Arabidopsis thaliana: one gene and its partner. The protein of the gene in region 1 interacts with the protein of each later gene in a pairwise test. Each region holds a gene or a part of one and is shown on either strand. Other genes may lie near its edges. The genes, in order: AT4G28150 and AT3G56320.

Region 1 (4,623 bases):
CAAGAAGAAGACGAAGATGAAAAACCGAAACCATGGATCCACGAACTTCTTCGTGTTCGTTGATTATCTTTTCCTCTTTATATTTTTCTGCTTTCTTTGTTATATCATCTTCAAGGTATTGGGTGTTTGAACGAACCTTCATCGATTTGGTTTTTGGTCATGGTGATCGTTTTTTCCAATTCGCTATGGATAGACAGAAACTTCAATTCCAATAGACTTTTCCAAGACATCTCTTTGTCCATTATCATCGCATTGTTTTAGAAGTTTCCAAATTTGATTTGTTAATACATCGTAGTTGTCGTTGGTTTTGTTAATGCTAAATGCTAATGCTGAGATTACTTTGAAACTTTGAGATTTTACATATCTTGACAAAATTTCAGACTTTGTAAAGAGAGTTTCTCTTTTGACTCAATCATGGCAATAATGATTCAATTGAAGAGTTTCTACATATTTCTACTCTTTTGTGACTCAATACATTTGCAGCAATGTGAGTCATTACATTTTATTTGGAAATATTATTTTTAGATAGTATGTAAGCAAAAGCTCTGGAATTTATTCAATATCCTCTTAAGTATATATAGAGAGAGATCATGAAGATATATGACTATGATGAAATGACTAGTATACTTGTTATGTGAACCAGAATTGAATACCCTTCTGCATCTAGCAAAAGCTTATTTGTTGACAGGTCATGGTTGTGGCACTGGTGGAACTTCATCTTCTCCTGAACTCGGACTGCGGGCTTTATTACTAGGAGTTCCATTTGAAGTGGCTGGGGCAACAGCAAGGGGATCTTTGTAAGGAAGGAATGGCAGCTTAGGTGTGGGAGGTAGCAAGAACCTTCCAAAACCAGGAATGAGACTAGATGGTTGAGGCACCATGTTTACAGGAAAGTCTGAATGTTTGCTCTCACTGGGAGTGGGGGAAATGGGAATGTAACGCATTCCGGTTACTTCCTCTGTACATCCAAGAATCAGGCTTACCAGAACAATTGTGGCTGTCAGATTTTGCAGAGTATAAGCCATTGTTGTGTTAGTTGAGGATAAAAGGTAAGAGCTTGAATGTGTGGTTTGTGGAGGGAAGATGGAAGAGATAGTGTGTGTAATATATAGAGTAGAGTGAAATAGTTAAAGCTAATTATGGGTACATTAAACGAACATAAACAAAGTGCTTTATTTACTAAAGAGAGAGAGCCTACAAAGTCTGGTAGCATCTATGGTATTGGCGGTGAATTATTGCATGATGATCAGTCATAACATTTGCCACACATGTCTAATTAGTAATTTTGGTTGTGATGGGCTTTTGTGCAACGAGGTCTTTGTCTTCTCTCTCACTTTTCTTTTATTATTTAAAATCCTACTTTCTTCTCATATTCAAACCGTGAATTCTGCAGGTTTATTTGGCTTCACATACAAGTAACAGAAAAACCGATGAAGAAGAAGTCAGCGAGAGACGACGGCTTCCACTTTGAAAGAGTTTGATTTCTTTTACTTTCTCTTTATTCTTTACGAAGTTGGTAAAACATATTTGACCATTTCTTGAGTTTTCTTCTCCGATCAATCTTTTGATAATGTTTTAATAATTACATTTACGTGACTAGCGGCATATTCTACAGTTGTCTGATAGAAATTTGTAAGAAATCCATAAAAGTCAAAGAGTGTTTCCGTACTTTTATTATCCCCATGTCGTCGTACTATTTGAATGTGTCAAACTTCTATAGTAGATATTTAGTTTAACTTGGATTACAACATTGCCGACTGATCCTGTCACACATGTCCTTTTATGTTAATGATTCTTTTAAACCATATGAATTATAATATGTAAACAAAAAAGTCATTGACCCAGTTTCTCTTGAAATCTTGTTATATGTGATCGACCTAGTTTCTCTTCTTTCAAGATGTATCCAAAAGAAGGAGACTTTGTATTGGGAGATGTCATCATCTAAGACTTAGGAATAATAGCTCTGTTTTGTTGTGTTGTTCACGAACTATGCAAAATGAAGATATTAAGAAGCCATAACGTTTTATACTAAACCCAAACAAACAAAACTCAATCTCATCCGACAAAGTTAGAGAAACGAAACTATATTTTATTAAATGAAAATGAAAATAAATGGAGAAGGTGGAGAGTTGTGAGAAAGACAGGTGAATCTACCAATAATCTCCTGCCTTAGAAGAATGGGTCTCATGGAGTTTGGTTGATTATATAAACCTATTTCCTTACTTTCTTTTATCTCAAAGTAGATACAATTTTACTTGTTTTTTTTCTCATTGCTCAAAACAGAGTTCCGTTGGAGTTTTCTTTAAAAAGTTTGTCCCTTTTCGTTCAATCTTTCCCTGTTTCTGACATTGCCGTGAAAGTCTCAAATGCTCGTCTAATAAAGCTAACACTTTTGTCCGAAAACTAAGCTCTTTGAAACGTCAGGGAAAGAGAATCCCGCAATACTCTCTCCTCTCTCTTTTTTTTTTTTTTCTGGGTCGAAGTTTGGTTCTTTGTTGGATAATGATGGTTTTTGACAGTGAATCTAACCTAGACCGATTCTTACGCTGCACTACACCGATTGTGCCTGCCTATTCCCTCCCAAAGGTTTACGCCTTTTTCTTTTTCTTAAAACAATTCTCTGAATTTAGGATCTGAAACTGTGTGTTTTTTGGCAGACACAGATCAAGAACCTTAATCCTCTATGGTATCCGTTGGAGAGCCAGAGCGTCGAGTATTTCAGGTTGGGAGATTTTTGGGATTGTTTCGACGAGTGGAGTGCTTACGGTGCAGGTGTCCCCATTGTATCGGAAACGGGCGAAACATTGGTCCAATACTATGTTCCTTACCTCTCTGCAATCCAGATTTTCACCTCTCATTCTGTTATCAATACTCTTAGGTAATGATCATTATGCTGCCATTTTCATAAACACAAGCATATATTCAACAATCTAACATGTCGCTGCGATGAATGATGATTTAGGGAGGAGACAGAATCAGGGGATTCAGGGAGCGAGTCGTGTAGCGAGGAGTGGAGATGGGAAGGATGTTCTTCGTCTGAAGAAGGGTTTGATCATCAAGAACCTCTCGATCGCCTCGGTTACTCTTACTTGCAGTATTTCGAGAGATGTACACCTTACTCTAGAGTCCCTCTCATGGATAAGGTTTGTTCCCCATTCTTGGAGTTTGATTCCAGAAGCACTTTCTTTCATTGTTTTATGATTCCATAAGTCTCTGTCTACTTTCAGATCAAAGAGTTGGGAGAAAGATACGTAGGGTTGAGGTCATTGAGGAGTGTTGATCTGTCTCCTGCGAGTTGGATGGCTGTTGCTTGGTCTGCCTTTTCTTCTTTTTCTTGTTTCAGAAAACAAAGTTAAGGTTAATGTAGTAAAATGGTGACGATGTTTGATTGTATGTGTAGGTATCCAATCTATCACATTCCCATGAATAGAAGCATAAAAGACTTGTCTACTTGCTTCCTCACTTACCACACGCTTTCTTCATCTTTCCAAGGTGCATTTTCACTTTCCTCTTGGAAGTGTGTATTAATGTATTAGTACATTCATTCCCCATTTCTAAAGTCCCTTGGCATTGGAACAGATGTAAAAAGGGAAGAGGAGAAGGAGAGGATAAGTGTGAGTGCATTTGGGATGGCCACTTACAAGATGCAAGGGAGGCTATGGGATAATGATAGATTGCTTTGCTTTTTGAGCGTAGCAGATTCTTGGCTAAAGCAGCTAAGGGTCCACCACCATGACTTCACCTACTTCACCACTACTACTCATTATCTTTGATATATGTAGTGTTTTAGATCATTACTTGGTTAACAGTCTATTTAGCTTTGTTGTTTAAGAGTAGCACATATCAATAATGTTGGATTGTTGTTACTTGGGACTCTTTGGGAAGGATAGGTACTGACTTTTTCTTCACAAGACTTTTATATCATAAATTTAGTTTGGGGTCAGATTGATGATGATGGGCTCAATACATTTATTCTTTTCTAATGTTTTGTGGCTTTCTGTTTGTACAAACGCACGTTCTCTTGATTTTGGTATCCTTCTCTTTTTAACAATTTTCTAAATTTCATAACAAAAAAGAAGAAGATATATACAGAGATATATATTGATTTACATAAAAGATTATCACAAAAATCTCTAGAACTTTCTACATGATATTTAGATATATTTATGTTACAATTATCTCAAATTTAGTTTCTTAGCCTCTAATATAATATTCTGATATTATGTACTTACTAGGAATTATTTATGGTGTTTTAGATTGTTTCTGAAGATACCTCTTAAAATTGGATCATGTTTTAGGCTTCTTTCGACTTTTGTCCAAATTTGATAAATTGGATCATTGGCCCAAAATAAAGTTGGTTCGTCTTTTTTATGCTCACCCCTAACTAAAATTACACCAAAAAAACTATACTGTTTCTAAACATTATCACATTATAGTATTATACACAACAATATTAACTCATAAAATAAAAAGAATAAATGTGTGCCTTAATATTCACGAATTTTCTTAAGAATAATACTCTTATAGAGATTTTAGTAGATTTTCTTCTGCACCCATCTTCTTTTTTGCCACTAGAAAAAGTTACATAAAAACTGTAAGTTGATAAATAAATAAAACTGTAAA
Region 2 (6,692 bases), on another chromosome or scaffold:
GAAGCTTCGCTCGTTCTTAAGCGATGCTAAGTACTTGTATCTCCCTACTTAGCATAAAGCAACAAATAATATAGTCGAGTGTTGGGTATGATTGCTTTGTAAAGTATAATCAGAGGCTTAAAAAAATCTCTAAACTTGATTATAACAAAAAGTTAACTATGCAAATTTTCCTTGGCAATCCTAACAAAATGGGACATGGGACAATCTGTTTTAAGAGCATTGGGAATAATGTGAGATCTGCTAGCAGCGTAACCCTCCTGCAAAAATCCAAGGAGCAGAGCTTTTTAACTTTGTACCTTCAGATCAGTTTCTTCAGAGATCAAAGCTGTGAGAATCTAACTACTATTTACCTTAACTAGTGCACTCATCATCTTCTTCAACGGAGGTGAGTTCATCTTCGCACGGCTCGCCATCTAATCACGAAAACAAATCTTTTATCATGTAATGTGAATGAAATGCGTCTATCTTATCAATGAAATTAAAATCATGGTTTTAGAGGACCTCATCCATTTTTGTGTATCCAGGTGGTAGTCTGGGATCACTTTCTTCAATCATTATACTGAGAAGCTTGTCCAGATCCATGCCAGTGCCTTCACTGACCCATCCCCATTCCTTTGCCAATTCCAGCATTTCCGTAACATAGGATGCATCATGAAGCGGTCCGAGCCACATTGGTCCTGACACAACCAGTGAAGAAGAAGCCTTTGTATCACTGCAGGGACATCCCATCAAACCAAGTTCATCGAATCTCAATGTATGAGAATGGCCACATAGATTACAGTGCGTGACAAAACCATAGTTCCTACAGTTAAAAGACACAAAACAACTCCAATTAGAAACGCAACATAACCAAAACTCAATTCCTTTCGAGTCAAATTCTAAATGTAGAAACAACCTGTCCTCATGTAGCTTCCCACGGTGAACCCTCAGCATGACTCTAAACACAGGTCCGTGATAAGAATAGTACGAGAAAAGAGGCGTAACATGATAACCAAGCAGAGCAGCTTCTCTCACTGCTCCACCTATAAGCATCCGCAGCCCAATCTCATTCCCAAACGGCATTGGTCGAATAAATGCTCCATAAGCTGCTAAAGAACTACACCAAAACAAACCAAGAAATTTTTCAACTTTCAATCTCCTAGTCCCTAAATCATATCATGATTCCTAAAATACCACAAAGACTAATGGTATTGCTTTCACTCACTTATAAGGTCTGTGACCACCAGAAGAGTAACCATCAGTCGACGTCAAGTAAAGCAAACCACCCAATCTCAATGCATTAAACGCATCTCTCAAAAACGAAGAATCACTTCCAAACGAATCAATATCAATCATATCGAAGAAATCCGCAACCATATATCTCTCAATCATCGCTTTATTAGCCAACATATGAGTCACAACCCATCTCCTCTCATCTCCAGTACCTCTCTCTACTTTACTCAAATTATCCGTAATCACTCTCCGATTATCATCATTTGCGTCGTTCGCCATCACGAAATCAGCTTCAGCTTCCACAAGATAACGAAGCGACCTAATTCCACATCCGCACATTGCGTCGAGTACCCGTAAGCTTCCATTAGATCTCTTGTATAGCGTCGCTGACAAAACACCGAGGTCTCGTCCTCTAGCGCTTTCATGGCGGAAAAATGTCTCTCCCGTTTCAAATTCGAGATTCCTCTCAATTTGAACCTCGGATTTCACTAAAATTCGATCAAAACTACATTTCAAGCTCTTGAATCGACATGAATCTGGAGATTTACATTTAGGGTTTTGCGATTTGTGCACAGTGAAGAAGGAAGAAGAAGATAGGGTTTTAGGAGAGAGAGTCAACAACATAGCGGGAAAAAAAAAATCTGATTGTTTTGCTTGATTTTTTTTTTTAATCGTCTATCTAAATTAGTCCGTCCGATATTATGCCACGTGTACGGAAGAGATAAAAACCTCGTATTAGTAGGCCACGTCGTCAATCTTATGATTAGTTGGGTCCCACTTGTGTAATCGTCTATACTCGAGTCCACCTAAAGATACGATACACTTTTTTCCCTTTCATGGAATTGAGTTTCTACTGTTTCTGGAATTCTGGGTTTTGGAATTTGGAGAAATTAGGGTTTTTGTTGAATCATTCAAAAACATTGACCATGAAGATCATAGAGACTAAGAGTCTCCAACAAGAATGAAGAAAATCTATTTTTTTTCTTGGGTTGAAAATTATTTGAGAGGAGCAGGTGAAGTTAATTTTTTTCTCATTGATACAAAAATGGCAGATTGTTTTAGAGTCTCCACTATTATGAACCTTCCATAATTTTTTATTTTATTTTTGCTTATATTATCCCTTAATTTTTTGTCTTGGTGATAATTCTCTTTCTCCCCTCAATTAAAAAAAAGTTTATAGTATCGGTTTCTCTTCTCCTGATCAATGAATACAAATCGGTATTCGTAAACAATCCCTTCCGTTTCATTTTACTGACTCATATCTGTTTTTATCTGGGTTTTTATTTCTTTTCCCCTTTGTGTTTCAAAAAAGTTTTTGGTGTAACGTTTATTATCCATAAGATCCAAAAAAAACTAAAGCTGGAAATTTTGTTTCGAGGTGAGATAATCTTTGCTTAATCTTTAGGAATCCAATGAATACAAGCTTAATTTGCCTCTTAATCCTCGTTATCGGAGAAAGCAAAATGATGTTTCGTGTGAATCTCGTTTTTTGATTTTTGGGGTTTTCTCTTTTGTCTTAATCCATCTTCGTGGTCCTTGTGAAGCTTAAAGATGAAAACCAAAATGTCATATTTTTTTTCGTGTGAAAATGTCGATTCGTTACAAATCTTAAACCCTGTTCCAAGTTTTGATTTTTTTTGTTTGTTTGTTAGCAGGAATTAAAGCTTCTTGAATATTCAAAGATTAGCCCAAAGAATCTCTGGACAACTGGTCTAAAACCGCAGGTACGCCTTTCACTACTTAAACCTCTCAATTTTGTCAACAAAAAAAAATGATTTTGGAAGAGACAGAGCTGAGACTTCTGAGCTAATAGTCATTTTTTCCTAAGGTATAATCATCACTCACGCAGGATAGTTTAGCTGTTTTGTTTTGTTTTCCTTTATAAATATTCGATTTTGCTCTGAGAAGCTAAACATTAGGGTACCTACCTAACACTGAATTCACTATTGGCATGCTCTGTTTCATTTTTTTATGTCTCTTGCTTAGGATGTAATCTCACTCACTCTCTGGATTAGCCTCGATTGTTCTTAATCAAATTTGGGAGCTCTAGTTATTAGACAATCAACTTTTACCTTGACTTCATTTTTTTCTTTTTCTCTGTCTAATGTGATGACAAAAAGGCCAATTTGAAATATTTTGTAATTCTGTTTGTTCTGTTGTTTGTAGATATCATAATTATATAAGGGGCTCATTGAGTTGTTGAGGATTCCTGTGTTATCACTCTGATGTTAGTTTGAAGTTATGCGCACATGGGTGAAATTCAAGAAAGATTGTCAGTTTCATCATCTTCGTCTTCTTCATCATCCTCATTGTCACTATCAACGGCACTACCTAAAGGAGATTCATTGCCGATAGATGCAGATTCTTGGATGATTGCAGAGGAGAGAGCTCATGAGATACTTTGCACTATCCAACCTGCCCTTGTTTCAGACAGAAGTAGGAATGAGATCATTGATTATGTACGAACTCTTATCATGAGTCATGAGGGAATTGAGGTTAGAAACTCCGCTTCTCTTTGCTGACATGTTAAAGATTTATGCTGTTTTGTTAACTTTCTATGGGAACTTGTTTATCTACAGGTCTTTTCATTTGGTTCAGTGCCACTAAAAACCTATCTCCCGGACGGGGATATCGATCTGACTGTCCTAACTAAGCAAAATATGGATGACGATTTTTATGGACAATTGTGCAGTAGGCTTCAGAATGAAGAAAGAGAATCTGAATTCCATGCAACAGATGTTCAGTTTATCCCTGCACAGGTCTCTTTGTTTATTTACTTTTTGGTTTCGTTTTTGTATTTTCTTGGTTGCCCAAATTTTCCTTAAGAAAGTTTGCTGATATATGATAGGTCAAGGTCATAAAATGCAATATCAGGAACATTGCTGTTGATATCTCTTTTAATCAAACGGCAGGTCTCTGTGCTTTATGTTTTCTGGAGCAGGTACTATCAGCTATTCAAAATCAGGCTCCAGAGGTTTACTAAACAGATTATTGCCTAGCTTTGATTCTTAGTTGTTGGTTAAACTCTGGTTTTATGTATTCTCAGGTTGACCAACTCTTTGGGAGAGATCATCTTTTCAAGCGTAGCATCATCCTTGTCAAAGCTTGGTGCTATTACGAGAGTCGAATTCTTGGTGCTAACACTGGATTGATCTCAACATATGCATTGGCAGTACTAGTTTTGTACATCATCAACCTGTTTCATTCATCTTTATCTGGCCCTTTAGCGGTAATCACTCTTTTTCTGAACCTTCAGCATCCTCTACATATATGCAAAAGATGAGAATATAGCATTGTCTTTCAACAGGTTCTGTATAAGTTCTTGGATTACTATGGTTCATTTGATTGGAACAACTACTGTATCAGTGTCAATGGTCCTGTGCCAATATCGTCCCTTCCAGAACTTACAGGTAAGGATGATGCCAAAAATCACAGATACTTCTCTTCGTGGCATTTTCTTGGCGCTATTTGACGTTTTAATTTGGTTCTTTCTCTTTCTATCTTTCCAGCAGCATCTCCAGAAAATGGGCATGAGTTATTACTTGACGAGAAGTTTTTAAGAAACTGTGTAGAGTTATATTCTGCTCCAACTAAAGCTGTTGACTCAAATGGTCTTGAGTTTCCTATCAAACATCTCAACATAGTTGATCCTCTAAAATACAGCAACAACCTCGGCAAAAGTGTTACACAAGGTACTCTATTGATAAAAGTTATACAACCAATATAGCAGTTGTCAAATATTAATTATTTTAAAAACATTTTGTTAGGAAATGTCCAACGAATAAGACATGCTTTTACACTTGGAGCTCGAAAGCTAAGAGATGTTCTTTCACTACCTGGTGACACCATGGGATGGAGATTGGAGAAGTTCTTTCGTAACTCTTTGGAGAGAAATGGTAAGGGACAAAGGCAAGATGTGAATGATCCCGTTACTGCTTTCGGTACTGGAAGATCAGAATTATCTGAACTTAGTGGAGATTTCGATAGTTCCTTTGGAAGACTTGTGTATGGGCAAATGTATCATGGGCATAGCTTACCTGGAACATTTCAGCATGGCTATATCCCGGTTAGTTCTCACCTGAGTGGTTGGGATATTGTTCGTCACCTTGTGACTTACCGAAAGAACGAGTTCCATCTTAGAAGTCTCAATGTATCAACCTCTATGCAGCCTTTTCCTTTGCATTCTTTACCTAATGGCTGTCAAAACATGAGAAAGACGAGAGGAACCGGCACTTATATTCCTGACATGGTATGCGATTAACCCCTTTGACGGACATTTTGGCTTAAAAATTAACTTATTGCTGCAAGCTTCTGAATTGCTTCTCAATGGTTGTTGCAGAGTCAACAGGTATACTCTGACAGGTTCAGAGAATCAGGTACTGGAACCTCATCAACGAATCATTTAGAAGCTTCCTCTGAGGCAATAGACAATGATGGAGCCAGTAGTTGCTGCAATCTTTCCGGTGAAGTGTCTACTTCTTGTACCAGTAACAAAGGAGAAGAATGTGTGAGACCAGAGAGTGTGCTGAAATCTCAAAGATCTGCGAATTTGGAGCTTGATGACAATTGCCAATTTCCACCACCAGAAAACCTAGTAGAACCTAGAACTTCAAGCACATTGGTATTGGAAAATGGCAAAGAAGAGAGTATCAGATCCTCCCAAACCATGAACGGCTCTTGACTTTTAGTGACTGTGACCGAAGCTTTGGTTGTTATCTTGACACCTTCAGGATTACTAGGTTCTCTTAACCACATGGACAAACTCTATTTAGTATTCAAAACTCTATATAGGATTCAAAAGATCCATCAGGAACTTGTTTTGACCAATGTTTCATTAGAGATCTCTTCTTCATTGTTGGTAGGTCAGAATATACAAAAGTGGTATAGATTAAGAGTTGATTTGGCATTTGTCTTTTCTTTGGAATCAAGATCCTTCAGACTTTTTATCTAAATTTTTATATGAGATTCAGTTTTACTTCTTGTCACTTCTGGCAATTTGTTTAGAGAGTGACAAACATTTAAAGTTGTCCGGGTAACAACAGGTTTCACGTTTTACAAGATACACGAGTATACAGAAACACAAAGGCAATCTCTGTTCTTTGGGATTTGAATGCCTCACAATAAAGAACTATACATCAGAGTGTGATACTGTCTGGGGAGTGAGAACGTACATATGACAGTCGTGTGCGTCAACTTGAGCTTCAAAGGAGCCAGAAGTATTCTCTGTTACATCTTTGTGCTGCCACAAATCTCTTACTGAAACGCTAATGGTAGATTCAAGACCGATCATATCCCATGATGCTGTAATAGTTGCTGGCTCAGAGCAACGGTTCCAGAGAGCAACTACCATACGGTCACCAGATAAAGGTCCTGACCACACCTGCAATGAAACAGTTATCACCAATTTGAGTCCTTGAGTTTGTTTTTTCTGCTTTCTCTATGAGTTTGATAATTCTGTGACTCCCAATTCATACCTGCTG

Evidence for each region.
Region 2: the proteins of AT4G28150 (region 1) and AT3G56320 interact in a two-hybrid assay, tested with the Arabidopsis thaliana proteins (one large-scale study listed by BioGRID).

Annotation. Positions count from the first base shown.
Region 1 is NC_003075.7:13,976,792-13,981,414, reverse strand, and holds AT4G28150 (hypothetical protein (DUF789)), read left to right. Parts: upstream 1-1,927; 5' UTR 1,928-2,502; coding exon 2,503-2,586; intron 2,587-2,657; coding exon 2,658-2,878; intron 2,879-2,962; coding exon 2,963-3,143; intron 3,144-3,227; coding exon 3,228-3,313; coding exon of another isoform or gene 3,314-3,356; exon of another isoform or gene 3,357-3,400; coding exon 3,401-3,492; intron 3,493-3,579; coding exon 3,580-3,773; 3' UTR 3,774-4,112; downstream 4,113-4,623. Other genes in the region: AT4G28160 (hydroxyproline-rich glycoprotein family protein), read right to left, coding at 690-1,025.
Region 2 is NC_003074.8:20,885,394-20,892,085, reverse strand, and holds AT3G56320 (PAP/OAS1 substrate-binding domain superfamily), read left to right. Parts: upstream 1-2,282; 5' UTR 2,283-2,590; intron 2,591-2,783; exon of another isoform or gene 2,784-2,867; 5' UTR 2,868-2,936; exon of another isoform or gene 2,937-3,132; intron 3,133-3,378; 5' UTR 3,379-3,461; coding exon 3,462-3,707; intron 3,708-3,791; coding exon 3,792-3,971; intron 3,972-4,060; coding exon 4,061-4,153; intron 4,154-4,258; coding exon 4,259-4,441; intron 4,442-4,519; coding exon 4,520-4,622; intron 4,623-4,721; coding exon 4,722-4,904; intron 4,905-4,979; coding exon 4,980-5,461; intron 5,462-5,551; coding exon 5,552-5,893; 3' UTR 5,894-6,192; downstream 6,193-6,692. Other genes in the region: AT3G56330 (N2,N2-dimethylguanosine tRNA methyltransferase), read right to left, coding at 153-257, 351-413, 502-802, 896-1,096, 1,205-1,836; AT3G56310 (Melibiase family protein), read right to left, coding at 6,341-6,592, 6,687-6,692.